Linked DNA regions of Alligator mississippiensis. The protein of the gene in region 2 purifies or fractionates together with the protein of the main gene of each other region. This does not show direct contact. Links are inferred from orthologs where the notes say so. Each region holds a gene or a part of one and is shown on either strand. Other genes may lie near its edges. The genes, in order: CRCP, POLR3H, POLR3C and POLR3E.

Region 1 (7,322 bases), on a different chromosome or scaffold from region 2:
TCACTGTAGCCCCCACAACCTCTCTCCCAGAACCGCTGCCTGTCCCGAGCGCAGCCCCAGCCCAAGCCCCCCCACCAGGAAGAGCTCCGCGCAGCCCCGGCCCCAGCCCACAGCAACAGCCTGTCCTCGCCCTGTGCGCAGATCCAGGGGCACACACCTGCCATGCCCCCCTGGGGTGCATGCAGCAGTGAGAGCTGCCACCCTCTCCCCGCACCCTCCGGACAAGTCGCTTGTGGCTCTGTCCCCCGCTCCACGCCAGCTGTGCAGCACCTGCCCCAACCCCTGCCTAGCCCCACTTCCTCCCTCACCACAGGGGTCTCGATCTGCGTCCCCATGCCCGTTTCCTCACAACAGACTTACCAGCCAGACCCAGCTGCTTTCCATGCTGCTGGGCTGAGCTCCTGCCGCCTGTGTGCTGCACTGCGGCTGGGCGGATGCATGGGGAATTACTGGCCACATCAGCCAAAAAAAGCCAATATCTGATAGTCAGTTTTCCTTATATCGGTGCCAATCTGATATGGGACCCATGTATTGGTGCACCTCTAGTAGCAATCACTTTTCCTGTGCCAGCATAGGAAAAAGCAGCAGTAGTGGGCACTTTCCCTAAGCCAGTGGCGGGCACTTTTCTGGTGCTGGCATAGGAAGCAGCAGCAGCAGATGCATTCCCTGTGCCAGCAGCAGGCACTTTTCCTGTGTCAATGCGGGGAGAAAAGGCTGTGGCAAGTGCTTTGCCCACACCAGAGGTGAATGCTTTCCTTGTGCCCATGCAAGGAAAAAAGCAGTGGGACCAAGTACAGGGAAAAGTGGCCGTGGCAGGCACTCTTCCCACGCCAGCACGAGGGGAAGCAGCAGTGGTGTGTGTTTTTCCTGTGCCTGCCATGGGACCTCCCTTTGTCCATCTGCCTCTGACTTGAACTGTGTCAATATGACCTGCAGTCTTAAAAAGCTGCTGATCACGGCATTAAACTCTACTGAAAATTAGGGTACGAGTAAACTTACCTCAAAGTTACTCAGCAATGCAGCATTGGCATCTTTTCTAGAAAAAGGAATAAAACATGTTTCAGAATATTTTGTATAAAAAAAATTTAAAAATCACCATCTTCCTCTCTACTAACACTAAAAAGTAGAAATCGTTAAATTCAGGAATTCTTTCCAATAAAATTCTCAGGATCACAATTTTGTTAATTCCTCCACTGTTCCTGGCTGTTGCTACCTATGGCAGTCACGAATATTTTACACAACCTAATTATGCTTATTACTATTAGACAAGAATATTTGGCTCAATTGATCCACAAAGTAGTGTTTAACTTGCTCAGCAAAATCCTCTGAATTGGGACAGCCTACTACCATTTCAATTAACAGCCCATTCAGTTATTCCTTGCTCCTTAAAGTTTTGTCTGGATAAAGTGACGCACAAAACAATAACAGAAATCTACCGAGTGGGTAGATACAGATATTGAGATGTAACAGGGGGCTTCCTCAGGGCCGATCTCCATGGCCTGCCCACCTGTCCTTGGGCCAACCGCCCGCTATCTCACCTGCCACGCCTTGGCGTTAATTGATTCATTAATAGATGTCACATAAGCGGGAAGCTACCCATTTTAGTGCCCCAATGCCAGGGGGTGCTCTCTGTGGCTCCTATCCTCCCCAATACCGCAGCCCAAGCCTCGCAGATGGCATCTAGGTGTTCATCTCCTCACCGGCCCCCACGCTGGGCCCCTGAATCTTCCAAACAGGACCCCTCCCCGATCCCTCTGATCAGGCGGCCTCTCCGCCTTCATCTGGGCTACCTAGCCCCCCACAAAGCCATTTTCCCCTCTCGGGTGTGGTCCCCCCGGGACCTTCGGCCACTAGCCCTGGCCCACCTCCAGGCCAGTCGGGACCCCAGGCCCCTGGCTCTTGGGCATCCCTCGCCCTTTAGACCCTCCTGGTCCTGGCCCCAGCATGGGCCAGTCGAGGGGACTCCCTCGTCCGGGTCGGGTCTCAAGCCCCTCACTTTCTCCCAGGGTCCGCCCTCTAGGCCCTTTACAAACACTGGGGTTACCCCCCCGCTGGTGGGGGCAAGGGGTTAAGGCGCCCCGACCTGCCTTTCACCGGGGTGGTAACCGGCCTGGCATTTCCTGGGGGCTCCCGCGCCACTGAGAGCCCCACCAGGCCACCCACTCCCGGCAGGGGGCAGTTTGAGGTCATGCCCAGGACCAGGAGCCTCCTTACCATCCCCTTCAGCTCCTCCCTTACCTCCAGGTTGTTTTCGGCAGCTCTCCAGCCAGGCGATGTTGCTGCCTGGCCTCCAGCAGCCAAACTGCCCTGTTTATATAGGCAGCCCTTGCCTCTAAAATGGCTGCCCTCGTCAGGCACCTGGTGGCTGCCAGCTCCAGGCCCTTAAAGTGGCAGGCGCACACAGTGCCCTGCCACAATAGATAATGTATACAAACACACATACAGGTAAGTGAGGTCTATATATGTATCTGTAACTATGCACACACACATACTCTATAGCATGGGTGGGCATTATTTGGGCTGGAGGGCCGCTTACAGAGTTTTGGTGAGCTGTTGTGGGCCAGGTCAGCAATCACCCCCACCATCAACAGCTCACCAAAGCTCCCTAAGTGACTCCATGATGAGCCAGCAGCTGAGATAGAGCTGCGGGGCAGGCAGAAAGCGGCATCCATGAGCAGGACAGGTGGGCAGGTCCAGGGCTGGAACCGGGGGGGATGTGACAATATGGACAGAGCAATGATCTGCTCCCCACACACCCCTGCAATGGGTGCTGGTTCTGCGGGCAGGGGCCTGGGGGGAGCAGATCGCAGCTCTGCCCTGGGCCCCAGCCCTGCACTGCCACTGCCCCACAATCCTGGGCAGGTAGTGTGGCCAGGTGGATGGGATGGGGCCGCAGGTGGGTGGGGAGCAGCATCCAGGAGCTGGACATGCAAGAGGAGCCGGATCCAGGATCTTGGGGCAGTGATAGTGTGAGGCCAGGAACTGATGCAGAACTGCAATCTGCTCCCCACACACCTCTGCCTGCGGAAACAGTGCCCACTGCAGGGATGCGTGGGCAGCGGATCAAGGCTCTGCCCCAGGCCCTTTTACTGCCCTGTGATCCTGGCTCCAGCCTGGCCCTGGCCTTCCCCACCCGCGCTGCTCCTGGACACCGCTCCCCAGCCCCATCCCCTCCACCTGGCCGCCCACCCTGCCCACATGGGTGGGACTCCTGGCAGTGAGGCTGGGTCCAGTGGCAGTGGCAGTCAGAAGGAGCTGCCCCTAGCCTGCTTTGCACCCTGGGGGCAGCAGGACCAGCCGCACATGCCACAGCCTGGGCTGCTCCCCACAGTCCCGGGGCTGATCCAATTATGCAAGAATCGCTCTTACATATTATTGCTGGATCGAACAATCTGAGTAAAGTGTATTTCTGAATTGAGCATGCTCCCATTAATTAGACTAGAAAATATTGTAATTTCATATTTTCAAGTAAATACAACTTCTGTAGGACAAGCAGCGAGGAGCTAGCCATATATCCTGAGAACAATGCATTCTGCTGAGTCACCAGACAGTTACCATACAAAGGGGAAAAAAAAGGGCTTTTCTCAGGTCTGCGACAGCACATAAAAAAAAGCAAAATGCATTGTCAAGCACCATCAACTCTCTGAATAGCACTGTCACATTCATCACAGTCAAACATGTGAATGCCTTCCAAACGTCCACAGGTTCTATCATTGTTTTTAAATGAAAGGGACCTTGTAAAATACGCTGAGATGAACTTAAAATTCCAATTAGCTGATTCTAGTGAAACTTCAGCAAGTGAGCTCACACACGCATCAGTTTCCATTCATGTTTTACAAGCCATATAGCTTTTGTAGTTTTGTTCTTAGGTAAACACAATTCTTTGAAATCTGCATTCAGCCTATCTCCGCAGAAATCCCTATGCACGGAGGATGTTCTTTGTTTCTGGAAATAATAGCGCCATGGAAGAATTACATACAGATTCTTTCCATTAAAAAAACTGAGAAGATCCTGGACTGTATATTCAACAGGCAAGCACAGAATGAATCAGCAGTTCGTTTAACTGCGATTTTATACTGTTTAAATCAAGCGTGGGTTTGTTTTTAAAATGGTAAACCTTTTGGGACCACAAGCACTTAAACTTCTTTTGTACCAATTAACAGCAAACAGAAACCCATCCAGTTGTCAAGCTGTTACTTAAAAAATTAAGTTTTTACTAGCGGGATTGATTATTGCTAAGGGTATGGGGAGATACAAATTTATTATAGCTACAAAGTCCTCTTGCTGTTCAGTACTTTGTCAAGCTACGAGGATTTTAAATGAAATAATATAGCAAACATTATGGCCAGCGTGCTTATTCAGGTTGATTTGTATCATTACAAAAAAAATTGGCAAAGCAGAAACAGACTTCAGTTTTTATGTCAGTCTGCACCGTCGTATGAACGTCTGAACAACCAAAAAGTATGCATGCAATATATCAGCATGCAGTTTATTTTTATAGCAATTCTAATTTGGGGATTTTACATCAGTTATCTACATAGCGCACTTAGGAGTAACCTGTACATGGAAAAGGAAAAAAAAAAATGACTTAATTTGAAACCTCTTCCGTAAATATATTTTAGATTCCTTTGGGAAAAAAAAGTATTTTTTTAACCTAAATTACTAAGATCATCCTCATGTACTACAGATTCGTCTCATCTTAGTCCATAAGAGCCACTCTTTTAAGATATACTTTAGAATACAATTGCCATGGTACGCTCCTATAGGAAATTAAACAAAAATGATCCATTTCTAAACCAAACAGCTCATCCTCCTCCCCCTCTATCCAGGCCTTAAAAACCTCCAAGAATGCAGCCTCCCCCACGTCCGGGTGACCTGCTGCGGCGCTTCACCGCCCTCCTAGTGAGAAAATTTTCCCCAATGTCCAAAACTCAGTAAGTGGCCGTCGCCCCTGGTCCCCCCCCGTGTCACCGCCGTCAAGCGAGGCTCGGAGACGCCCGGGGTTTCTTCAGAGGCCTTCATGTTGCCATCTGCGCGGCCCACGCTTGCAAATCTACTGCGCGGCCAGGAGCATGCGCACGGCCAGGCCTTTTCTCCCCGGGGTTAAGAAAATAGCGTTTTTGGGAGGGGGAACGGCCCGGGGGTGAATCACTCCCCACCCGGGGACATTTTTGCTCTGGGAGAAAACAAACCACGACTCTCCCAGTCCTCTCCCCGCACCCGCGGCCTCTTCCCCCCGCGCGGCCCTTACACGTCCATGGCGCCCGTGCTGCGTCCCGGGGGCAAGGAGAAGGACGAGGGGGCGGGGCGGGGCGGGGCGGGGCGAAGCGCAGCGCAGCGCAGCGCAGCGCGGGGGCCGCCGGGAAAAAGAACGTCGGAAGCGGCAAAAAAAGGTTACACTTGCATTGGCCGGGAATCGAACCCGGGCCTCCCGCGTGGCAGGCGAGAATTCTACCACTGAACCACCAATGCGGACGCACGCGGTGCGGCTGCCCCGCTCGCTCCTCCCGCGCCGCAACGCCCTGCACGGGCTGCCCTGCACTAATTGTGGGTCCCTTCGGGTCTGCCCTGCAGCACCCTGCTTGTGGGTCCATGCAGGTGTGCCCTGCACCAATTGTGGGTCCATGCAGGTGTGCCCTGCCCTGCTTTGGGGTCCATGAAAGTCTGCCCTGCACCAATTGTGGGTCCATGCAGGTGTGCCCTGCCCTGCCCTGCTTTGGGGTCCATGCAAGTCTGCCCTGCACCAATTGTGGGTCCATGCAGGTGTGCCCTGTCCTGGTTGTGGGTCTGCCCTGCACCGAACACTTTGGTTGTGGGTCTCTGCAGCTTTGCCCTACACTAGGTGCATCTACACATCGCCATACGGGAACGGTGTGACTGCGCTGTGCTTTTGGAAGTACTAAAACATGGTGTGGTAACCGCCTGGACGGTGCCAAATGGGCACCACGTGTTTAAATTTTCTCGCTGTGTCTCCAGAGCAGGGCACCGTAAGCGGGGAGCGCGCCACTACTGCGACGTAGCTAGCGATACGTCGCCGTAGCGTGCCATGCGTCACTATGTCGCCATAGGGTGATGTGCAGGCGCGCCCGCTGCTTTGGTTGCTTCTTGCCCTTTCTCCTGACGGTGAAGGGAGAGGTTTCACCTGCCCACAAAAAGAAAGGCCCACTGCTGGCACAAGGCTTGGCACAGGCAGAAACACCCCAGAATTCACCAGTTTGAGTTGTGTGTGTCCCAGCCAGCTTCGGCTGTGATAATAAAAGGGGAAGAGTGAATCAAATCATTTTTGTCCGTCCAGAAAATGAACTCCGGGCCTTGCACGCACAGCATGTCGCCATCACCTGTGTGAACAACATGATACCTTATAGGAAATCCTCTCCTGGGTGCCATCAGGCATTTCTTCCTAAAGTGCTTTTATGGGTCTCATCAGCTGACACACCAATATTCCACCTTCTTCACCGCCCTCCCACTGGTTATAACCTCAATATATTGTATTACAGTTTGCATCAACCCCGTTTCAACCCAGAGAAAGCGAGCTCCGCTCTTCTCCGGACACAGCTGAGAATTGCTTTGGATACAGCACGCAAAACAACGGCCTTGCCCGTGACCATAGGACAGGCCTGCGCAATACAAGAAACTCCTTGTGTCCTCTGAGTTTAGGGCCATGCTATTACTTGGGATCCAGCAAATAGCCATCGAGCCCTAATGACCCAGGGAGGTGACCCAAAATGGTATCTTCTCTAGAAGAGTCAGCCTCTTTCATCAATGAAAGGACTGAAATATGAACCACCACGGTCATACCCCTGGAACCACCACAGTCGTTGCACAGTGACAGCAATGAACAAACACCCAGATCAACAGACAGACTCCAGAGAGAGCTAGAGTCGCCTTTGTTTGTTCATGTGATTTACTGACCCTGGCACAATATGGCCAAAACCAGCAGAGCAAAGTCCTGCGACAGCTCTGCCGGGTGCTATACGATACCACGTGCACCTGCTTTTTTATGCTTAGCATCTCATTTCTGTCTTCCAACACCAGGTAATTATCTGCATCTTATTTGATATCTTTCCTAGGGCTTCGTTCCTGAGCCCTGCTATGCACTTCAGCCACTGGGCTCTGGAGTTCATGCACAACCAAAATTATCACTGTGCTCCACACAAACTACTTTCCAAAGAGAAGATGCAAAAGTAGTGATTAGCCCAGGTATCTCGGTTTTTAATTTCTGTACTTCTGATTGGACTCAGCGGCTTGGGATGTGTACATTCGAGTATCCATAGGGAATGCAGACATGGAATTTTCTAAATGTGCAACGTATAAACATTTCA
Region 2 (7,970 bases):
CACTAACCAACTGGAGTGCTCCAAGAGCGTTACAGACAGACAGAGGGACTAACCCCTTTATTATATAAGAATTCCTCACCAGTTTGTTCTATAGCATTAAAGAATATATTAAATAAGATCAGAGCCACAGAATCATAGACAAGTAGAGCGAGAAGGGACCTTCAGAAGTCATCTAGTCCAACCTCGTGCCTGGGGCAGGATCATCCCTCTCCAAACCACCCCATTCAATCCACTGTCTAACCTCTTGGCAAAACTACCGTCAACCCTGACACAGCACAAGACACAACACCCTAACTTGCCACAGATAAAGTGGGGGACCACAGCAGCCAACTTCCTGCTTCTTTAAAGATAGTTAATACATGCTCAAGAGATTCCAGGAAGAGGGCCATGCCCCCTGCTACAGAATACCGAACTGATCATGAGGTTAAATTCCCTTCTGACCCCAAATATAGCAATTGGTCTGAACATAAGCAGAGGGGCAAGACCCTCTAGCCAGTAATCTCTCACTTTAACTCAGAGCAAGAGTGCTGGCATGGCCCAGTCAAAATCCCCAGCCCTGGCTGCATCCAACACCCAATGCCTCTGAGGAAGACTTAAAAAACAAACAAACAAACAAAATCCTGAAAAACCCTGACACACAGCAGGGGAGGTGAGGTGAGGGGAGGGACTTCTGCCTCAGTCTCATGCAGCAACCTGCAAAGCCAGGACAGGAAATACCCATAACAAAACATAGGCATAGCTATGCCAAGATCATTCCCAACTAGTGGCTGTCCAAGTTCTTGAACAGCTCTAGTGGAGAGTCCACAACTTCCTAGGTGTCTATTCCATTGTCTCACTGTTCTGTGATATTTTTCCAGATATCCAGCTTAAACCTACTTTGCTGCAACTTAAAGCCACTGGTCTGTGCTCTCCTCTCTGCATGAGAGAAAAGGTGTTTTCCCTCTTCTTTATGGCAGCCTTTCAAGTATTTGTAGACTGGTATTACACCCCTCTTAAGCACCTCTTCTACAAGCTGAATGTGCCTAGCTCCTTCAGCCGTTCCTCGTATGATTGGTCTTCCAAGCCCTTTATTGTTCTTGTCTCCTACCTCTGGTCCCTCTTTAACTTCTCCACATCCTTTTTAAAATATAGAACCCAAAACTGTTTACAATACACTAGACAAGGCCTAACCAGTGCTAAGGACAGAGATACTATCGCCTCCTGTGACTTACACCTAATACTTATATTAATGCATCCCAAAACCAAATCTGCTTTATGTGCAGCTGTGTCACGCTGCACACTCATATTGAGTCTGTAATCTACCAAGACTCCCAGATCCTTCTCCACAGTGCTGCCATCCAGTCAGGTATCACCCATTTTGTATTGTTTATTATTCTTCCTGAGGTGTAGCACCTTGCACTTGTCAATGCACCTTTCACTTGCAGCTTTCCAATCTGTCGAGATCTTAAACTGCTGCCCCTGTTTATGGTGCCTCAAGCACTTCAGTCTCTGTGAAGATCCTCATGTCTAAAGTCATGCTGAAACTTTATTTCTAATAGTCATCCACGGCTTCCAGGAACTCTGGGTCATACATCGTATGCTCAAAGCTTTACCTTATTGGCTAACTTCTTGTTCAGCTCCTCTGCGATGGAGTCATTGAGTTTTCTTTCAAACTGCCAGGGAGGAATCCGCACTGTATCAGTCATCTCCACTAGGACAAACATGGTGGCAGGCAGCAACAGTGTCCCTGGGGACAGACCATGAAGACCAATGAGCCTGGAAAGGCTCTTTCTGATTAGAGGATGCCTAAGATCATTTCACACCTCAAAATGGGTGGGGGGAGGATCTGGAAACACATGCAGCCCCTGCACTGTAAACCCTTTACCCTCTTGAAGTATTAAAACCCTGTCAAGTCAGCATACAAACTCAAGCAGCTCAACTACAAAGCAGGACCATCTGCCAGAATCACTTGGCAGGAGGCCCTGCCCAAGACACCTCAAACAGTAGCTTTCTTTTAGTACCCAGAAGAGATGCTTACTTTCAAGACTCAAGTTCAGTCCCTTATCAAGGTGAGCTCATTAGGCAGAAATCATCTTTTCTTTATGTGCAGGTAGGGCCTTGCAATGGGCCTCACAACATGGGTAACAAGATGAAAGGAGCAGGGCACCACCCTTACTGAGGTCAACTTCTACAAGCCCAAATCACAGTGGCAGCTTACTGCACCCTTTTCTGGGTTCCTAAGCAACGGCATACTACAGCACTGGCTGCTACATCCAGATCTGGCACTGCCTGCTGACAACATGGATCTGGGTGTCCTGGGTAGGAAACCGCACAGGCCACGGGCACAAGAGAACCATTCATGAGGAGGAAATAAGTGGCATGCACTAAGGTGGGGAGGGGAGGGGCAACCTGTGCACGCAATAAGTGGCAGGTGCAGCCTCTGTGTGGGGCACGCAGCACATCAGGAAGGGGTGTCCGTCCAGCAGCACAGTGGCAGGCAGAGCAGAAAGCAGAGCAGTGGATCTGGCAGAGAGCAGAGCGTATGACAGGGATCAGAAAGCAGAGCAGCAAACAAGGCAGGAAGAATGGGGCAGGGAGCAGAGCAGATCAAGCAGGAGGCGCAAGGCGGGGAGCGGAGCAGAGCAGAGCAGAGCAGCAGATGGGAGAGGAGCAGGCGAGGAGCAACACAACCCTACGTCGCAGCTGACGCAGAGGGTGGGGCCCGCCGTGCTCCCGGCAGGCGCCGCTCAGGGGCAGGGAGAAGCCCCGCCCGTCGCACGCGCCCGGCCCCACGCGGGGTGGAGGAGAGAGGCCGGCGGGAGGCCGCGTGGACACAGCAGCTCCACACAACCACAGAAAGGGGCCGGGAGCGGCCCCTCTGGCGCCGCGGTGCAAGACGGAACGCAACGGGACCACAGGCCCGACCCTCTTGCTACGCATCTTACCGGCAGCGCGTGCGGAGCTGCAGCAAGTTGCTCTCCTGGGCTCCTCAGCCGCTTCCGGTGCGGGAGCCAATCACCCTCCGGGGAAGGTCCTATGGGGGATTGATTGACACGTAGAGTCTAGGTCACATGACCAAGTGAACGGAGGGCTCTCTCCTCCCTCGCGTAGGCCCCGCCCCCGGGCCCTCCCCGCCTTCCATTTCAAGCAGGGCCTGCGGTCCGCGTTCTGTTGTCACCATGGAGACCAGAGGCTGTGCTGCGCGCGCCCCCTAACCCCCGCGCCCGGCTCTGGACAGACACGCAGGCGCCCCCAGGCCCTGCCAGAGCTTGGTCTAAGCCGGCCGTGGTTTAGCGGGGCGGCCGGGTGCCCCGGGGTGCTCGGACCCGTGCAAGGGTGCAGACAGCATGACCTCTAGTGGGGGCTGCGGACACCAGGCACCCGAGCCACAAGCCTCCCAGATTTCCAACAGGAGCCCAGAGGGTCCAGACCCTCCTGCCGTGCTGCGGGCTCGGCACCAGCGCACTTGCACTACTATTTTTCCAAAGTCAGAAAAACAAGGCAAAGGCCAGAAATGGCATCTCCCAAGGGCTGCCTCCCGTCTAAGGAAAGGTTACCTTGCATTTAACAAAGGTCAAGAGCCACTGGTCTTAAACCGATGGAAGAGATCTGAGGGCAATGGGGAGTCAGAAAAAGTAGGACTGGAAGGGACCTCCAGGCATCATCTAGGCCAGTGGTTTTCAGCCTGTGGTCTGCAGACCCCTGGGGGTCCACTGACTGTGGCTCAGGCATCCGTGAATTTAAGTACAATCAAAAGTATATGAATATCAATACTTCAAAGGGGTCTGCACCTCCATTCAACATCTTTTAGCTAGCTGCAAATGGAAAAAGGTTGAACACTAATCCAGCCCCCTACCTGAGGTAGGATCATCCCTATCCACATCATCCCATACAAACCATAATCTAAACTCTCCGTAAGACTCATCACCCCTGATGCAACACAGACCTAATGCCCTGACCTGACATAGCAGCCAATGTCCTGCTTCTGTGAAATGTTATTACATGTTCCAGACATCCCGGGTAAGGGCCACAGGCCCCACTACAGAGGAAGGCAACCCCCCACCACAGTCCAAACCAATTTGCTCATGAGGTGAAATCCCTTCCTGAGCCCAGTATGGTGATTGGTCTGACCCTGAGCGGAAGGGCAAGACCCTCTGGCCAGGAACCTCCAGCTTTGCTCCCAGAAGGAGCACTGACACCACAGATGAAGTCCCCAGCCTTGGCTGTAACCAACACCCAGTGCCTCTGAATAGGCTTAAAAACACCCTGACCCGCAGGAGAAAGACATAGACATTGCTTGGCAATTACTGCAGCGACTGCCAGAATGCGTCACCATCTGTGTGACTGGCAGTGCCAAGAGGAAAGTGTTGGGTGGAGACTTGGGGCTGTCAAGCTGCCTGCACACGACTTGGATGCGAGCTGCACTTGCAGCATCTCTTGCTTGTGGCTGTCTTCCTAAAGAGCCAGATTAGTGTTAGAAATGTGGAGTTCCCTCAGGTTAATCACCCTGCATGTGAGACGTGATGTGCTTCTCTCCAGCTGCCGGTCATCTGTCAGCTCCAAACTCTCCCCTCCTTTGCTGTCTGTGGAGATGAATTCTCTGGCAGCTTCAGATGGTGTCAAGGTTTTCAATTAATTAAATGTGAAAGTAAATCATAGCAACAGCGTGCTGCCCCTCTTTATGATTTATTTTGCTACTGTAGTCCTTCTGCCACATGCAGCTTGGCAGTAAAAGGAGATTAAATTATGTAAGGATTCCTACTCACAAACACCACGAGCCTTAGCACTTGTTTCTTCCTCCCTCCCTCCCCCCTGAAAAAAAAACCTGGAAAATAAAATTGTGCTCAGGATGAACAATAGTTCCTCACTTGTGAGGAATGACTGAGGTTTTAACACAAATACAGCTTTTATGGCGGGGAGGGGGAGGGAAGTGTGGTATGTATCTGGAGAAGCCAAGTGAATGCAGCAATGGTATCAAGTGAAGCTACCACCTCCAAGTACCTCAGTAAGTCAGAAATCCAGCCCTCCTCCCATAGTTGTCAGTAGCTGGTGAGATAACCACTGCTCTCTTGCCCTTTTTGTACTCCACTCACTGTGCACTGTCCAGGCTTGGAAAAGTCCAAAATCTGAGCAGGTACATCTCTTGTTGATAAGAAGAATGCCGTTCTGAAGACTTTGGTATCCACCCCAACTGAAGGATCACAACTCTGGTGCTGGGTAGATCCTCGTTGGAGTCCCTCAACTAAGCTGCTGCTCATATGATACTCTACACTGTCATGATACTCTAAGCTGCCTCTACACTGTCATCTCAGCTCTGTTCACTGCCCTGAAGCTACCTTAGCATTGTCATCTCAGCTCTTCACGCCACCTCAAAGCAGGCTCTGCAACATCTCAGGTCTTCAGAGAAGAATCAGTGGTATAGAGAATGCCAGGGAGTCCTTTTCCTCGTCATGCTCAGGGATGCAATCCTCAGCTGCTTCCTCACTCGCTCTTGCCTAGGGCACCTTTTACCTAGCCACTCCAAACCATTCAGTTAAAGAGAGCCACTAGCCACATTTGATACAGTTCACTTGTCCCTTCATTCTCAGACACACTTAAAAGCATTTTATTAGCCCCAACTTCAAGACTCAACTTGGTTTTTTTAAATACCCCAAACAGTTGAGGAGGCCTGTCCAATCAGTCACCTTCCCTTGCTCAACACCAGATACCTGCTGACTGCTCTTTTCCCTCTTGGGACCTCTGCCCATCTGGACTTCTCAGGCAGCTCTGGGCTTCTCTTCACCCTGATTATCAGGAGGCATCCACAGTGATGTCTCCACTCTTTTAAGGCTTTGAGCCATTTAGTTACATCTGATTTAACTTAATTTGCACCATTATATTCAGCTTATTTTATTTACACTGTGCCAAATGTTCATGCGCCCCAGTGTTTTGTAGAGTAGTTCTCAGGGGAGAAGATAGAGGTGTTACAAAAGCAGCAGTGGAAATTTGGTATCTGAAAAGGTGTGAGAGTCAGTTTGTACTTCATGCACAAGAGGCAGTGGGAGGCATTTCATATTGGTTAAAGGCTGAATCTCCTTTTCCCCTTCTCTTTGTGACTTGAAACACTAAAGGTGTTTAACATTGTTGACTTGAAACACTGGAAGGGCCACAAGTTCCCCAACTCCAAAAACTAAGTCACCTACCTCCCCACTCTCCCCTGCTTAGTGTCTGCCATTTTATCCACAGATGATTAACAAGTGTGTTAGCTGAAGATTTCTGCTAAAATGATGCACTAAACTAAGTAAAAGTGATCATTGTTAGGCTGGCTAACATTACTGTGGAGATAACAGTCCACATCTCTTTGAGAGCTGTTGTTTCAGGCTGTTTGCAAACTCAGGGGGAGGGGAGGAGATGGGAGGCTACGGAAGCTGCATCTATTTGTATTTAAATCATGTATGGAAGATTTTTTCCCACAATAAAATGGCTTGAAACATAGGACTGGCTACTAAACAATGTATTAACAGGCATAGATGGAGTTGTGACTGTCACAACCCAAAGGTGTGATTTTTGTTTGTGTGTGCTTTGGCACTGCTGAATTATTTCCCGCCACTCGTAGCTTTCTTTGCAGGGTGCATTTCTAGGTTGCAAAAGAGAAATGCACGGTGCAAGGAGTTCCCGCCATTCGCATGCAAATTTGTGTCCCACTATTGGCCAGTTCTAAATTATTCCCACGTGGCGGCTAGCGATTGGCTTGCTAGCCGTATAAGAGGCTTGAGCGGTTTCTGCCCAAGATGGAGGACTCCACAACCATCTGGAGGAGGAGAACTTTGCATCTTGTGAAGATCTCTAAGTGCTGCGGAGCCTATCAGACCCAGTGTGTATTTCAAGAAGGCTATAGGGGTCTGATCAACCTCTGGCCTCTCCCCGTCGCCGCCTGATCCCTCGACGTACCCTTCCCTGCGTGCAAGTTCCACGGAGCCTAGCAAACTTCGTGTGAGTGTATCCAGAACTCTGTCTGGGTTCAAGTCCTGCAGGTTTATTTTCCCGTCACCAAAAACCCATTGCGACGTACTCTCGTGTTTTGCATCTTCCCGTCACCGAAAACCCCCTGCGACGTACTCTCGTGCCCTGCAGGTTTGAGTTTTGTTTTGTTTTGTTTTGTAACTGCAACTCAAGCAAGTTTTCCTGCCTGCACCGCGACCATCTTCGGTGTAAGTAAAATAATCTTAAATCAACCACTAAGCGTCCGTGCCTAATTCTAGCGTGCTGCCTGCCTTCCCCGACCCGGCGTGTCCGGGCTGCTGGCCACAGCCCGCCGCGCGAAAAACCCCCAAGGGCCTCAGACCGCTCCCAGCCCGCACAGTGACAATTAATGCCAGCTGAGAATCTGACCCTAAAGTTTCTACTCCATAATTTTACAACAGTGGAAGGATTCTGCAGCAAACAGAGCATCTTAGAACATGTGAAAGACAAGGGTTTTTGCTAATGCCTGAAACTTGACAAAAATATGAAAAGAAAACGTTTGAAGTATATACAAAAAGCTTTAAGGAAAAACCAAACAGCTCAGTGACTGGCAGTCAAAACCGCACTGTCAGCACAATCACTTTGATGCAAATTCTAATTCCTTCCACTGGCAAGCACCAAGACAGTAACGAGTTGATACTGAGTTATTAGAAACTGTACTGTCTTGGGGAGCAAAGTTAAGAATGTTTCTTGCCCTTATTAACCAAATATATTTCTTTCGTTATGAGTTTTGTGGTTGGCATGATGGCATCTCTTGTATTATTCCTATCCTTGTTTCTTTTTCTTTATAAGCTTATGTGCTTGGCATGTTTTGGGTTTGTTTTTCTAATGGAGGGCTGAACACAATCATAGGCTAGCACTGTAGCTAGAAATAATCGTAGTGGGGCCATGTTGGCAAGCTTCCACCAGCAGAATACTTCAGTAATTCAATACTAAGCATCTCCTGCTATTCCAGTCCTGAGCTCCTCACATTTTGGTTAATGCATCTC
Region 3 (8,043 bases), on a different chromosome or scaffold from region 2:
CGTTATCATCATCGTCACACGATCGCCTCCTCTTCCCCTTCCCTGTAGGCCAAAGACAGAGGTTCCCCTCTGACTCCATCACGCTGAACGTGGATTCCTGTCCAAACTCTCATCATGCCTCCTGCTCCCACCGTGCCCCTGATCAGGGTGGCTCAGCTCATTCCTCACCTATGAGGTTCAGTCTGGGGACGCTGTACATGTCCTTCTCGTCAATGACCAGCGTAGGCGCAGGAGGTGCTGCCGAATCTGATGGCCCAGAAGCATCGGGGACCCCTGGGCACCTCTGCACAAAGTGGGTGTCTGCCAGGCGGACAAAGGTGTTGGAGACTTCAGTGTAGTCCATGGTTTTCCCATCTGGACAGGAGGATCCCAAGGAGAAGGTGAATGTTCGTGATCCTGACTGCCCAGCTGCTAGCACTGTGCCAGCTGGGTTACAACCCCATGCCCTGCCCTTGCTCCTACCAGCCTCAGAGGCCATGGGCTGGGTTTTCAGAGGCAGATGGCGGTTTTGGAAGCCTCTGGTTTTTTAGGGGGTTACTTGAGGTGACCTGATTTTTCAGGGATGCTGAACAGGCTTGTGTCATACACTGGGCACCTGAAGTTTCAAGGTCATGTTTAGAAGTGTTTAGTCTCCTGTTTCCAGCTCAGATACCCCACTCCTGGCAGATTAGATACTGATAAGGCCAGCTACTTAGACATGCATCTATCAGAGAAACCGGCGCAGAGGTGAGGGAAAATCCAAGCACAACCAGAGTGGGTTTCCCATCTCAGCCCACAGCTGAGAAACTCATCTTTAAGACACAAGCTAGGCAGGAAATGCTCCTCCTTCACCTCAGAACTCATATAGGCAAACTGAGACCTGGAGAAGATCTTGATCAAGTCTTTTTCGACTTGATCAAGTCCTCCAGCGAGTCTGCGGCAGCGAAGAAGCCAACTCGGCAGCCTTGAACCTGGTTTCCTGACACAGGGACAAGTTCACATTGGCACGTGTTATACCATCATGTCTGGTGGGAGCATATGCCCGCAAACCAGCTCTGTCTCTGGCATGAGCACTGACTTGCTGTTTATCTTTTGCTGCTCCCCCATCCCTGGAGCTGGCAGCCCAAGCTCTCTCCTGGGGAATCACTGGCGCACTGGTTTTCTACACAGCCCTTCCAAGACACAAAACCCACTGATGCCACCCAGCAGATGTCCATCCATCACTTCCCTATGGTCTGGATTCAACATCCCCCACCCTGGTGCTGAATCCTCTTATTCCCCTGAGCTTGATCCAATCCCACCAGTGGCGAGATATATCCAGGGAGCACCAGCCAGATGAGGTGCCCCAGGGAGCAGTCCCCATCCCGTCTCTCAGCCATGCCAACACCCCCATCACTCACCCTCCATGGTCTCTGTCAGCCTGTCAGCCACCTTCGTGACCACGGCGCTCATGGGCATCTTGCCATTGAGAAGCAGCTCCTCCACAATGAGCTCGCCCGTGTCGCCGTACAGGGTCTTGGCCGTGTAGATGTAGCGCGGGTAGCGCAGGATGCACAGCACTCGGCTGCACTGGACGCTGTACTCCACGAAGCCACGCTTCTGTATCTGGTAGGTGCCCAGGTTGTGCTGGATGAGGACGCACAAGGCTTTCTTCACCTGTGGGAGCCGGAAAGGGACAAGTCACGGACTTGGGAACGCACAGCACCATCGATGGACTAAGAGGAGGGGTGTGTGAAGGGGGGAGGGGTTAGGGTTAGGGTTGGGGGGGGCTGGCTGGCAACTCGAACGATGCAGTATCTGTGCTGTGTTCATGAGCTCTTATCAGCTTGGGATAAAGCTATTAAGCTTTCACCACGGAAGTGAATTCACCCGATGCTGCGAATTCCCAGGGCATCTCAGGCTACCAGAGCTGAGGCAACGTGCGAGGTCCGGGGCAGGGCGCTGCGTTCTGATTCACCGTTAATTGTTAAACAGCTCAGTCTTTCACACCCTTAACCTCCATCCCCTGCTCCAGCTTCGCTCCTTCCTTTCCCAGCTAGATCTCAACGGCACCCCCCACTCGCCCGGCGGCAGGGAGGTAACGTCTGGGATCCGCTCGTTAACACTGGTGGCAAAGACGCCCCTGGACCGCAGCAGGAGCCCGATGAAACCATCTATCCCAATTTTAAAAAAAAATCTGCTTTCAAGTCAGCACCTCCTTTACGCCAATTTGTGTCTCGCACGTAGATTTTAGAAGTGGGGAAACCTTCCGGAGACGGGAACTGACGAGCTGTACGGAGATCGCCCGAGCACAGCCGGCTCCCCTGAGCGTGCGGACGCCGACTCGCCAGCTGGCGCAGCCCGGGACGTACCTGGTCCAGGGAGGTGCCGGTGTCGCTGACAATCGCTCGCAGAGGCTGCCCGCCGGTCCGCACGAGGTACGTGCCTATCTTCTCCACGATCTCTCCAAAATGTTCTTGCAGCAGCAGAGAACAGAGCTTAATTTCCGCCTGCGTCATCCCGCCGGCAAACCGCACACCTGCGTCGAGTCGGGTCCGAACGTCCGCGGTTTCGTCACGAGGGATGCAACGGGTCGGCGCTGCCGGGCGGATGCGGAGATGCCGGTTTCTCTTGCGGTGTCCAGTCCGGACTCGAGGCGGCTCACGCTTTGTGCCAGAAATGGATTTGATGGGTTCACATCTGCAGCTGTATCAAACCGCCCCTCCCCCCACCCCCACTCCCACTCCCACTCGGGAAACTGAGGCTAGAGACGGGCCCCTCCCCCTCCAAGGGAAACTGAGGCTGAAGACGATGAGCTGAGGCCCGGGGGGGGGAGGGGGTGTCCCGACGCCTGGGTTGCATCTCACCTGGGGGAGGGGAGGGGAGGGGGTCGAATTTTTTTAGGCCCCGACAGCAACCATAGCAACCCCGTGGCTTTCAGCTTCCAGTTCAACAAGGATCACTTCCGCTCGCTTCTTTGGTGTGGCCGCTCTAGCTACCTCTCGTTGGTGGCGCTGGAGGACCCCAGGGGGCGCTCTCTCCCTCTCCCGTTGCGTCTAACGTCGCCCAGCGCATTGAGGACTCTCGGGTGGCGCTCTGGCTTTCCCCTCGTCTCTGTGGCTGCTGGGAGGACTGGAACGCGGAAGTAGCGAGGAACCGCTCTACCCTCCCGCCTCGCTGCTCAAGCGGAAGGCTCCGTTTTCCCGCAGCGGAGCAGAAGAGACTGGGGAGTAAGCTGCGGGCTAGAGCGGCCCCGCCGCCGTTCTATCCGGCCCGCCCGTAGTCTCGCTGCTCCTCCCGGAGGACTGACGGCAGGCAGGGAGCCGGGGGAGGGGGAGAGAAAATGGCGGAGGCCTCGGCAGCGGCGGCGGCCGCCGTGTCCCAGCATCGCTTCTTCTGCCACAGCTGCAAGGGGGAGGTCAACCCCAAGCTGCCGGTAAGAGGGACGCGGGCTTCCGGGTTGGGGGGCTGCATCCCGCCCCCCCCGCTGTAAGGGGCGGAGGGAGGGTCAAACCTCAGCGCCCCCCTCCGGGGGGGAGGGGCGACCCCCTCAGGGGACTGGAGCCGGAGCCCCCTCATTGGGGGAGGGGCAAATACAGAAGCCCCCAGTTGGGGAGGGGTTGTTGCCCTTCCTCCCGAGTGGGGGCTTCACCCCACTTGCCCCCCCCTCGATTTGGGGCTGGGGGGGGTGATCCCTTCCCCCAGTGGGTGAGAAGGTGACCCCAGCTACCCTCCCCGGGGGGGGTGAACCCCAGCATTGCCCCTGAGGGGGTCTAACCCCCCCAAGCACCTCCTGGAGGGGAAATGCCCCCTCGGGGGGAGGAGGGGCAATGCAGGGGATCAGCCCCCCCCCAGGGGTAGCCCCTCCCCCCGGAAGTGACGGCGCATCCCATTGGCCCATGGGACCTCCCCATGGGGGGGGTTGGACCCCCCCAGCCCCCTTGACAGTGGGGGAAAGCCCCACTCCTCAGAGGGACCTTCCCCGGGTGGGGGGAGCGGAGAAGTCCCCCCGGCTGCCTCAAAAGCCTTGTTGGGGGCAGAGCGTGAGGGAGGGTGCGTCTCCCTGCCCCGGGGAGCGAGGGGGTCGCCTGGCAGAGCCCCAGCCCCGGCTGCCTCCTTGGCATCTCCCCCAGTGCCGGGCAGGGGGGCTGCAGGCTCCGCTCGGCCACATGCCCAAGGTAGCAGGCAGGTTTGTTTGCAGTCGAGCGTCTCCGGGCATCCTTGTTTTGCTTGTCCTGTCACCCGAGGTGTCGTCGGGCGTGGGGGGGGCAGCCGAAGGAGCCTGAACCAGATCAGGTGCCGCTTCTTCTGTGTCCTGTGGGGATGGTCCCCTCCCCTTCATGCCTCAGTTTCCCCAGGTCTGAAAGCGAGAGACCCCTTGCCTCATTGCTGAGCGGGAGCGTGGCCAGGAGATCCTCGGCAGCTGGGGCAAGATCACAGCCCCCTGGATCTTGAGGTCCCTCCGTGCTCTCTGGCTCTGAGGAAGTTGTGGGTAGGGGGTGGCATGAGCTGGGCAGATCCAGGGCGTCCCCCTGGCCCATGGAGGAGCAGAGCAGGTCCTGTGCTGCTGCTGGTCCTCTCCTTGCCAGGGATGGAGGTGGCAAGGTGCCTGATTTCACGCAGTGTAGCAGCCTGGCATGACATGACTGCCCTGCCCCTGCCTGATGTATGCTCAGGTATCAGTGTTCCTGCAGCCCCGGCACGGCTCGTCCTTGTCCAGGAGAAGCCCAAGGTGCTACATCTCAGCATCCTGGCCCGCTGTCCTTGCAGCTAAGAGCCCAGCCTTCTGGCATGGTCTCTTCGCTCCCTGCTCCTGAATTCCCCGTCGTTTTGCCTCTGCCAACTTGGATAGGCCCCCCACGCTCTTCCAGCTCTCCTTTGTTAGAGAGAAACGCTGCCCTGAATCGTTCGCAGCCCGTTCCCTTCCGTAGCCGGGACTCAGGATTTCCTGATGGCCAAAGCACGTTTTGTTTGCAGCCTCTGGGCCCGGCTGTCTGAGCGGCACATAACAGTGGGGCTGGGCAACGTGCTCTTTCCAGCGTCTTTGCATCATGTCTTTCCTCTCTTGCTGGGACTCCAGTGCCTGTTTTCAGTCTCCTCACTCGGGGACTGAAATCCCTTCTTGAAGGCCCAGGCAGGGCTTTGCTTGGCTGCCTTTGCAAAAGAGAGTGGTTTGCCTGCCTTGCTTGGTTTTTCTTAAAACTTTTCTTAAAACCCAGAGCAACGTCACAGCCTTGGCTTTGAATTCACTTTCGCTGCTGTCACTGGGTGATGAGCTGTGTTCTTGACGTGCTGCACTCCACCCCAGAGGTGGCTGCATTTCAGCAGCGCTAAGCATAATCCTATCTTTGCGGGTGCTTCAGAAGTGGCAAATATTTCCCAGGCTTTATAAATACTTTCTTCAGGGCTGGAACCAACCAAGCCAAACCCATCAATCTTGCTGCTTTTTCTTTCCTGCACAGGGTGGCAACACCTTTCTCTGCCCTTGATCCCTGGTAGGAAATGGCTTGAGTTAGGGGATGGCTCTTTTCTTCCAGGCTGTTTGAGTGGTGGGAGAATATGGCTCCTTCCTGCTCTCAGTAGCCAGCGTCATTTGGAAGCACGATTGGGACCAGACTCTGGAACCACTTCTTCTGGAGCCTGTGTGTTCGTGATCTCTGGCCAAGGCTCAGCCAGGAGCGTCAGACTAGGTGAGGACAATGCCTGCGTTCGGATCACTGCTCTAAAGCTGATCCCCTCTCTGACCTTGGGCAAAGCACTCTTTCTATGTGCCTCAGTTTCCCCATTGTTCAACCGTGACAGTTGCTGGGTTCAGCTGGGGTGTGTGGGTAAGGGGGGGCTGCTGTTTTCAGTGCCCTTGATTAGGGCCTCCTTTCAAATCTGCATTGGCCCAGGTCTCTGCCAGGCGTGTCTGTCTGGAGGTAGTGTGAACCAGCGATTACAGCTGAGAACCAGGACTCCTGGCTTCTCATCCCAGCTCGGCCCCTGACTTATCTCTGACGTCAGGCAAGTCACTTCCCCTCTCTGTGCTAATTTCCTCTCTGCAAAGCTGGGAGCTTTTCTTGACAGCACTCTGGCAGGCGTTATCAGATGAGGGTAATGCCAGCTGAACGGAGCGAGGGAGTCTGGCAGTTGATTTGTAAAACCTGGAGGAGATTTTTTTACACCGGGGGTTATCTAAGCAGAGTATCAGTCTCTCCTTGGAGAAGATGCAGATGTATGGATCCACCATCTCTTGAAGCCAGTGCCTGACTTCCATCAGGGTTTATTGATGGTGATGGGACCTGGCTGCCTCCCCCACACTGTCAGATCTCAGTGGGCTGCTGCAGAGCTGCCAGAGATCCTGAGTCAGGAACCAATGCTGTGATCCACCCAGAATGGACAACAGCGGGTTATATTAGTATGTCATCCTTCTCCCCCGGTCCTCTCCCTGCCACACACCACCAGGGGATCTCTGCAGGGCAGGGCAACCCTTGCCACAAGCCATGTTCTGGCCTGTCCACTTCCCAGGCTACACCAATCCACACGTGGCCAATGGGTTCTGCAGTGATAGACATAGGAAACAGTTAATGAGGAGTGGGGATCTTGGAAGTTATGTTGGCTGGAAGCCAGCCCCATATATTTGTGTGTGTGTGGTGGGGGATAGCGGGGTGACCATGTTCCTCATCACCCATTTGGGGTGGCTACAGTGCTGCTGGTGCATGTCCTGTGGCTCTGCCTCCCTTTCAAAATAAGAGGAGGACAAGCGGCCTGACGTCTGACTGCGCGTGGGGGATTGGAGAGGCTTTCTTGTGGTGGGGACCCTCAGCGAGGCAAATGTCTGCTGCCTGCTTTGGTTGTTCTTTAAAGACATTCCCCTCCTTCCTCCCAGCCCAAAAGGGCCCAGTGATCCTGGACACGGCCCCATCCCCCTCTGCCGGCTCTGCTGTGATCCTGGCTGATCCTTGCTATTAAAGATCTTGCTGTTCATTTTGTTGAGGAGAGATCCTTGTGCCTGGCCTCCTGGCTCTCCTCCAGCCACAAGGCGAAAATGGCTCTTGCAGTTGCATTGGAAGGGGGGGGGGGTGTATCGGGGGCACATTGTTTCCTTATAATATTTCCTTGCTCGTCAAAAACACTTGCAGACCCTTGTACGTGTGAGACTATCCCCGCCGCTCCGCTGCTCAGTTCAGCTGTCTGCCACCCAGCAGCTACTGCCTGTCGCCTCGGGCCTTGGCTGCGTCTCGAGATGGATTAAATGATCCCTGCATGCCGGTTCTCGTGGTGTTGGCGGTGCATTCGGTGCCAGGCAGCTCAGCCACGAGGATGGTATAAAACAAGGGTGGGCAACTTACAGTGTGGATACCACTGTTAGGCTGTGTGCAGGGAGTGTGGCAGATGAGGCAGGGAACATGCAGCACAGGGTAGGGAACAGAAAGCAGAGCAGCAGGTCGGGAAGGGGACCAGAGTGGCACTCGGGGAGGGTACGGGGATAATTTGTGGCACACCTGCCAAAAAGATTGTCCTCTGTCAGTATAAAGAACCCATCTTGACTGTACTGGCGATGCAGCCAAGACAGGATTACAACACAGCTGTGCCTCTTCATTGGGACGTTTACAGTCGAGAGATCTCTAAGACCCTGTTTTTGCTCAGGGTACAGGCCTGTTTTCATTGGTAAAATCCTAATGAAGATGAGGCAATTGCTACCATATTTTCTCATGTACCATGTGCAGCCCCGTCTCCCACACACACCTGAAAATTAAGGTGCATGTTTTAGGCAGGGAAGCTATTGTCTTCACTGTAAAAGAAATCTGGAGACTCGGCAGCTGCCAAGATGGCAGGGTCCTTTGTTAGCCTTTTCACAGCCATAGCTGTTGGGTGAGTGCTGTAGCTTCTGGAAGCAGCAAGTAAGCTGCCAGTAGTATCTTGATGAGATTTGTGATGTGGAAACGAGACTGTTTTCAGGAACTTATGACTTACAGTAGTCCCACCGCTGCCCTTGCCAGTGTCTCGGGCCTACCTTTGCGTGACATAGGGTAAATCCTCCTGGGAAGCATGGCATCCTTAGAAACAGTGTGGGTGAGGCAGCTGGCACTAGGAACTTCC
Region 4 (7,291 bases), on a different chromosome or scaffold from region 2:
TGTGCACCGAATCCTCATATCTTTTGTATGCTATTGTTTACTGACCATCAGACAGCAACTCAGCTCAGTGATATTCTTTCAGGAGAGCCAAAAGCTAAGAAACCTAAATATGAGGAAAGGTACACAGTTGTCCAGTGTATATCTACCTCTTGTATAATTGGGTCATCTTCTTCATTTGCCATGCTAGAATGGTAAAAGCTGTCTTGGGCTCTCTAGCACAATCTGAAAGAGAAGAAAAATACCACATCAAGCCTGGGCTGTGAAAGTTAGTTCCCTGGCCCTTACTGAACAGGAGTATTCACGGGCTGCCATCCAGGGGAAAGCAGAACCTTGGCTGTGGACTTAGTCCAGAGATGTCTGAGTTGTGACAGGCGTGGTTAACTGCAGAAGCATCACAGGAGAAGCAGCCTGGTGCATGGCTGTGGCACTTAACTTGGGTGGCCTTGTATAGTTTCTGGCCAGTCTCTACTGTTCACCATAACCATAATGCTCCGACCAGCTCAAGGCCCCATCCAATTGCACGATTTGCACTGCCATAACAAGGACCCTAGCCTAGGATTCAGAAACACTGGATTGTAGCCCAAACTCTTCCACTGCCCTGGTCAATTCACTCTGCCCTTCACAACAGGGGAAGCAGGCACTCTTTGTCTGCCTGGTCTAGTTAAACTACAAACTGTTTAAGGCAAGGACTGTTCCTTACTACGTGCTATACAGTGCCAAGGGAAATACAGTATCAACTGCTGAGATCAGGGCTGTAAGAAACAGGAAGCAGTGAGCTTGATTCAGCCTAGTGGTTGTGGGACACCCTCTCCCAGGGTGTGGGAAACCAAGGTTAAATTCTCTCCATTCCCGGAGGGATTTGTACTTGTCATTTCCTAACTACCAGGCTACAGGACACTGATGAAAGGCTGCACTCAAGCCCTCCTTTTAAAACTGTTCCACTCTCTAGAAAAAAGTTAACGATTCACTGAACCAGAGTCAGAAGGACTGTAGCGTGTTGGTGTGACCACTGCTGGGCCGGGAGAAGGCCCTCATTCTGGTCCCTGCTCTAAGGACTGGTTCTGTATTTTACATGATGTTCCTTTGTGTGTCTACCCCTTGGTTATTAGAAGTGCCAGTAATTTTCCAATTCCTTTAAAAGATGACTAGAAGTACTTCTAATACAGGCAGGAAGCATATAGGGAGGAAGCATCGTTACCAAAACCAGTTTTATAACATTCATAAAAGCAACTTTCCATAGTGAAGAAAGCTAAACTAAACTCAAGGATTTCAAAGACACAAAAACAGAACTGTATGAAACCTTTTCAACAGAAATATAGTAAAGGAAGAAAGAAATACATGAACAGTAGAAGAATAACAGAAAAAAATTGAGATATATAAATAAATATGCTTGATTTGTAACTGAATAGATAGCACAAAGTCGTCTTATATCAGTTTTGGATTCATAAAAGGGGCTAGAAGTGCCAATCATTATTGGTCAATTAAACTGAGAGAACATGTGACACTGATACACACATGCAGACAGCAACACGAGCTACTTTAGAACAGGTGAAAAAAAAATCATATCCAACAGAAATTGCAGGTAGCATTTACAGAGATATAATCCAGCTACCCAAAAAGATGACCAGAGCCAGGATATTAGGGTATCCCAAAAAGTGAGCCTCGGGATCTTGAGCAATCAGAAAACAAAGACTCCTGTTTTATGTCTCTCTGAAAAACAGCATCTCCAACAGCACAGTGTCCCCTGCAACACCGAGACTGTAACACATTTCTGCTTTTGTGGGTACATGGAGATGTTCCTGAAGTCCCTGGACACATAGGGAGAAACCCAAAACATTTCCCAGTGCCATGTGTCACAGTACTAAAAGGCCGAGAACCGCTGTCCCACTGATCCACTGGCTCCTTCCCAGGACCGAAGGGAGACTGCCACCTTCTGAGTTACTGGCATCATTTCCTGCAGCGTCCAGGTTTGCCTCAAGAGCTTCACATCTAAATACCGGTGCTGCTCCTGTTTAACTCAGGCTTGGCTAGCATCCGGCAACTCGGGGCCTGCTAAAAGGCTTTCCATAAGCCCCTGAAAGGCAATTCCACATGATGTTTACCAGGCTCTTTACCAGGCCTGTCCATGAACAGGTTTGGAAGAGGACTTCCTGCTAATGACCAAGGAGCTTACAGGGATTTGTTGTGCAGCAAGGCTCCCATCACAGGGTGCTGTAACTTCTGCCCGGCAGACCCTGCTACAGGGATTTAAGGAGGTCCCTCATCAAGCAAGCACCTCTTTTCAGTGCCTCGGCATTTGTGTAGCGGCGTGCACAATCCCTCGGGCCCTTCCGCTCACTCCCTGCTAGTGACCACGTTAGGGGTGAAAACAACCCCGCCACACCCCAGGACACCTGGTCAGTGAGTCAGGGAAAGCAGGCACCATGTGGCCTGTGGCCCAGGTGGGGCGGCCTGCACCCTGCCACTCCCTGCTGCCAAAACCTTTTTTTAATTTCATTTTTGGTAACTGGAGAACCTACTTTCTCGCGGCACCCTGATGCCAGGCAGGGTGGGAGGGCAGGGGGCAAAACGAGGGTCGGAGGCAGAAATGCTGCTGGGAGGACGGAGGTGGCTTGCTGTGAGCCAGGATGCAGCAGTGCCTGAGCCAGGGAGCCGGCTGCCAGGCAGGCACCGAGGCCTCCATCTCCCCGCAGCACTTTCCCAGGGCACTGGCGGGGCGAGGGCCCTGCTTTTATGTTTATTTTTTTGCAGGGGGAAATAAGCGTCCCAAAAGCGGGACCAGCCCCGCAGTCAGGGACAGGCTCCCGACCCCCGCCCAGCGCTGCCTGGATCCGGCGGACCCCGGCCCGGCGCTGTCAGCCGGGCCTGATCTCCATCCTGCGGCGCGGCCCCGCCCCGGGCCCCGGCGGCCGGCCCTGCCTATCCCTACCTGCGGGGAGCGGCGGGCGCCGGTGGCCCCTCAGCGCGGTGCGGCTCCGGGGCGCTCTCAGGCGGCGGCCATGTTGCTCCCACTCCGGCAGACACGTGGGAGGCCCGGCCGGACCTCCTTTTACCCACAATGCTGCGGGCGGCGGGCCGGGCCGGGCCGGGCCGGGCCGGGCCGGCAGGCGGCGCTGCGGAGCGGCCGGGAAAGAGCGCAGGGACAAAATGTTCTGGCAGCGGTGGGATTCGAACCCACGCCCCCGAAGAGACTGGAGCCTTAATCCAGCGCCTTAGACCGCTCGGCCACGCTACCCAGATGATGGGGCTGTCTGCTGCGGCCCACTTATCTCTGTGTTATCTTCTAGAGCCAGCGTGGCCAAGGCTTTGCCCCACCGGCGTTTGTCCGCATTTCCCCTTGTGCTGAGAGAGCCTGAGCTTGTCCGGGTTTCCCCGGTGCCCCTGCTGCCTCCGTCCCCTTGCAGCCCCCAGGCTGTGCTGTGATCCCGAGTTTTGCTAACTTCAGCCTGGGCCTTGTTGCATTTCGTCCGCGGCGCCTCTACCCGCGCTCTGCCGCGGCAGCTGGAGACCCACCTCTGTGCACGGGGCAGAGCAGAGCCGGGGGCCCCCCAGGACCAACACTCAAGGGAAACAGGGTGTGCTACCTGGGGTGCTGCTCACATGCAAGGGCTCCTTGGCTCTGTCCTTTCTTTCTTGCCAGCGCTTCTGCAGCTGGGGGAAACTGAGGCGCAGGGAGTGCGCACCACTGGCTACACTTGGATGTGGGGCATAGGGAGGGGCAGGCTCATGCCCATGGGTAGAGGGCCAGAAAGTCTCCTGGAGGCAGTGCACAGACCACACGCGCACGCGAAGGGCAGAGGTGACTGATAGGGGGTGCATGTGCCCCCCTCAAGGGCCAACACTGATGCTGTCGGTAGGGCCGGTGCCCTCCCTGACAGGGTCGGCAGCTTCTGCAGGTGCCCCCCCAGATTCAGGAGGCACCAGTCACCCATGCCAAAGGGGGAGTAACTTCTGGCGTTTCTCAAGGGCGCTGGGCAGAAGCCACTGGGAGCCAAACCTTCCCGTCACTTGTCTGCCACAAGGACCCAGCTGCTGTTCGGGGGCGCTGTTCTGAAAAGTCTCCAGCTCTGGCATTTCATGCCCCCAAGGCCCCTCATACTTGTACTTCCTGCCATGGTGGAGTTGGGCTTTCAGCACGATAGGCCAATTTCTGTTGCCAGTATCCCAGACTCAATAATAGCAGTGTGGGCTGCCTAAAGCTGGGCGCACCTATATGTACATTCATGAAGGACTGGTGCCTTCTGAGACTGGGGGGGCACAATTTGTAGGCGGCAGTGTCAGCCGCAGGGTGGCGAGTGGCAACTACCCGCAGAAGTCAGCAGCAGGGGTGGGGGTTGTAGCGAGCGGCGATGGGTGACTGCCCACAGAAGCCAGCAGCGACAAGCAGCAATTGGTGGCCGGCTGCAGAAGTCACCAGTGGCAGCAGCAGCAAGTGGCGACTGCCCGCAGAAGCTGCGGTGGTGGCAGCGGGGAGGGTGGCAAGTGGAAGCCAATCTCAGGGGGGGCATGTGCCCCCCCCATACCTCCTTATGAGTCACCTATGCATACAATACTGCACTTTTCCTAATGCGCATTAAATTTAGCACCTTGGGGCACTTTTACACATGCTCTGCGGGGTGGGGAGCTTGAATTAGAGCAGCTCACGCTCTAATTAAAGTGCCATAGCAGCTTCTGTATCAGTGTCCCTGAACTTCAAAATGGCAGCAGGGGCATTTGAACTAAAGCCCGTTTAACAAGCTTTAGTTCACGCTCCCCTGTTGCCATTTTGAAGCGAGGGGACACAATACGCAAGATGTGGGAGGCTGCTGGAACACAGTCATTGCCACGTTCCAGCAGAGTCAATTACTTACAACGCACTGAAGCGGCCTCCAGGCTCGTGTACAGGCACCCTTCAATGTGAGGTACTCAATTAAAGCACATTAGGCTGCTCTAATGTGCAGTAGCACAAATGCATGTGTTTTAGGTAACACTGGACACCTTCACTTAAGATTAGGAGCTAATTACTGCATGTGTCACCATCTACATGTGCAGATGCTTATTGAACAGTAATTTGCTCTAATCACTAGTATATTTGCTACCTGCAAATGCAAGTAGCAAACAGTCAAGATTACTTACTTACTTATTATGTACTGCCTGCCTGGGAGTGGGGACCGGGAGATCCTTATTGGGGAGCTCCCTGACAGCTGGAGCTGCCAGCTTCCACTTCAGGATGGGGAGTGGGGGCCTAGAGCTCCCCCTGGCCGTTGCAGAGGCCCAGTGCAGGGCCACAGGGTGTGGGAGCAGTCTGCTGTTAGGATCTGCTTCTGCATCCCTGCATGTGTAGCCGCATACCCAGGAGTTTACTTTAAAGCGAATTGCTCCCAGATTATTTGCACTTTTCACACAAGCGCATAATGCCTATTTTACTATGCATTAGCATAATAGCAGAGTTTTTTATGCCCTGCTTTAATGTGCAGTAAAATAGGCTACTGCGCATTAAAGCGCACACGTAGATGTACCCATTGTGATCCTCGCAGAGGATGATGGAAAATCGATCTACCCCTGGGAAGGGCAACTGGGGATTAAGAGCACTTCGTCCCTTGGAAAGGATGTTCAGCTGAGACCCAGATTGAGTGATCACTAATGATCCATAGGGCTTCTTGGAAGAGCAGGTGTTAGGTCAACTCCCCTGGCCACATGATCATGTGTGTGTTTACATTGAACTTCACTGTGAGCTTGGGCCTGTGCCCATGCCTGTCCCATGACTGATTCACCCAGTCACCAATACACCTGCATCCCAGGGTGAGTGCAAGATGAGTCCATAATCTATGGCTTCACAGGCTGTACCCCACAGGTGCTACCCACCTCTGAACTCTGGTTGCAGCATAGCTGTGCGCAGGAAGTCTTCCTCTATCATCAGTCCCACAATCCCCTGTCCTGTTCCTTCCAGCCTGTCTGTACTCCACTGCCTTCCTCTATTGCCCAGAAGCAGGGTCATGCTTTGTTAACTCCCTGGTCAGAGCACAGCCCATCATCTTCTGGAAGTGCCACTAGCAGGCACCACTGACTCCTGCTGGAAAGAGTACAGCAAGCACCAGTTTCAGCCTGGTCAACACTTCTCTCAGTAACAGTGTGCACATCTGTGCTCAAAGTGCCTAAATGGTAACGAAGTCACAGATTTCTGTCAGCTTCCCCAAATACCAGTGGCAGTTGACAGGAAGTATGTGTGGACAGTCCTTTTCTTGTGCCAGGTCTAGCAGCTATCCCAAAGCAATTCCAGTGTCTAAATTCCTCCCTCTAAATCCTGCAATTTTGGGACATACTCAGCCCCTGGTAGCATGCACATGCAAGCAGGCAAACATGCCATGTAAAGCTGCTATAAAGGACAAACACAGATCCAAACCCTGTGCTCCTGCCTGGCATAGGAAGGAGGTGCTGGATTTCCTCAGCCTGTGGGAGAAGGGCCTGTCCAAGCCCTGCTCCTGGGGAACCACACTGTATACAGGGCAAATGTGGAGGGCGTGGAAGCAAAGGGCTACAAGGAGGATTTCTGGGCCAAGGCCAAGGCCCTTCAGCAAGCAAATAGCTTGAGTCGTCCTGCCAAGTGACACCCACGATGCATCCCTTTTTCATGGTGCTCCATGCCCCTAGACCTGCTCCTGGAAGTGAGCATTTCAAAGGACAATTTTCAAAGGGAACTCAAGGAGGAAACCATCACACCCTGCATCAAAGAGGAGGATACTCCTTCTGTGAGGATAAGGCAGAGATACTAAAACCCCCACAACCTCTCCTCAGACACCCACTATTCAACTGCCAGCACAGCTGATGCTAAGGCCAGAGCAGCAGTCAGGAAAGGGAGCTCTGGAAAGTGCTGCATTTTCTCCTCTTTTTCCTCCCAGTACACACATTTCTTCCCCAGGACATTCTCCCCAGCCCAGATAATGCAGTCACATTTCCTTTCCTGCTACTGCTGTAAATACAGGATCCTTATCTTCTTTTATCAGTGTCCTTGAGCACAGTAGCCTTGAGTAGGACATTTTCAACAGTAGCAGCAAGGCTGATGGCCAGGAGGAAACAGAAAAAGCCCTCCAGAGAGAATGTGGGGAAAGCTGAGGAAATGCATCTTGGCATCTGTCAAGCAATGGAGGCAGCAGGAACTCCTGGGAGGGAAGCACATAAGCATCTTCCCAAGGACATCCTACATTTTTAAGGCAGCAGACAGACATGTTCAGACCATCAGGCCTACCATGTCACAAACATCCAGTCCCACACAGACATGGGATTTTATAGCAAAAGAACCCTATTACTTTAG

Evidence for each region.
Region 1: the proteins of POLR3H (region 2) and CRCP purify together in Homo sapiens (affinity purification with mass spectrometry; 4 studies listed by BioGRID and IntAct, with this or other methods). This does not show direct contact. The link is inferred for Alligator mississippiensis from reciprocal best matches to the Homo sapiens genes POLR3H and CRCP.
Region 3: the proteins of POLR3H (region 2) and POLR3C purify together in Homo sapiens (affinity purification with mass spectrometry; 5 studies listed by BioGRID and IntAct, with this or other methods). This does not show direct contact. The link is inferred for Alligator mississippiensis from reciprocal best matches to the Homo sapiens genes POLR3H and POLR3C.
Region 4: the proteins of POLR3H (region 2) and POLR3E purify together in Homo sapiens (affinity purification with mass spectrometry; 9 studies listed by BioGRID and IntAct, counting the BioPlex papers as one, with this or other methods). This does not show direct contact. The link is inferred for Alligator mississippiensis from reciprocal best matches to the Homo sapiens genes POLR3H and POLR3E.

What each region holds. Positions count from the first base shown.
Region 1 is NC_081837.1:10,088,339-10,095,660, forward strand, and holds the start of CRCP (DNA-directed RNA polymerase III subunit RPC9), read right to left. Parts: upstream 3,053-7,322; 5' UTR 2,442-3,052; coding exon 2,239-2,441; intron 1,037-2,238; coding exon 1,000-1,036; intron 1-999. UniProt on the Homo sapiens protein: DNA-dependent RNA polymerase catalyzes the transcription of DNA into RNA using the four ribonucleoside triphosphates as substrates.
Region 2 is NC_081827.1:97,178,189-97,186,158, reverse strand, and holds the start of POLR3H (DNA-directed RNA polymerase III subunit RPC8), read right to left. Parts: upstream 3,027-7,970; 5' UTR 2,925-3,026; intron 2,626-2,924; exon of another isoform or gene 2,018-2,625; intron 1,727-2,017; 5' UTR 1,704-1,726; coding exon 1,593-1,703; intron 1-1,592.
Region 3 is NC_081838.1:17,696,206-17,704,248, forward strand, and holds the start of POLR3C (DNA-directed RNA polymerase III subunit RPC3), read right to left. Parts: upstream 3,050-8,043; 5' UTR 2,826-3,049; intron 2,625-2,825; 5' UTR 2,478-2,624; coding exon 2,331-2,477; intron 1,636-2,330; coding exon 1,380-1,635; intron 355-1,379; coding exon 169-354; intron 43-168; coding exon 1-42. Other genes in the region: E3 ubiquitin-protein ligase RNF115, read left to right, coding at 3,302-3,394. UniProt on the Homo sapiens protein: DNA-dependent RNA polymerase catalyzes the transcription of DNA into RNA using the four ribonucleoside triphosphates as substrates.
Region 4 is NC_081836.1:46,616,369-46,623,659, reverse strand, and holds the start of POLR3E (DNA-directed RNA polymerase III subunit RPC5), read right to left. Parts: upstream 3,038-7,291; 5' UTR 2,930-3,037; intron 223-2,929; 5' UTR 183-222; coding exon 147-182; intron 1-146. UniProt on the Homo sapiens protein: DNA-dependent RNA polymerase catalyzes the transcription of DNA into RNA using the four ribonucleoside triphosphates as substrates.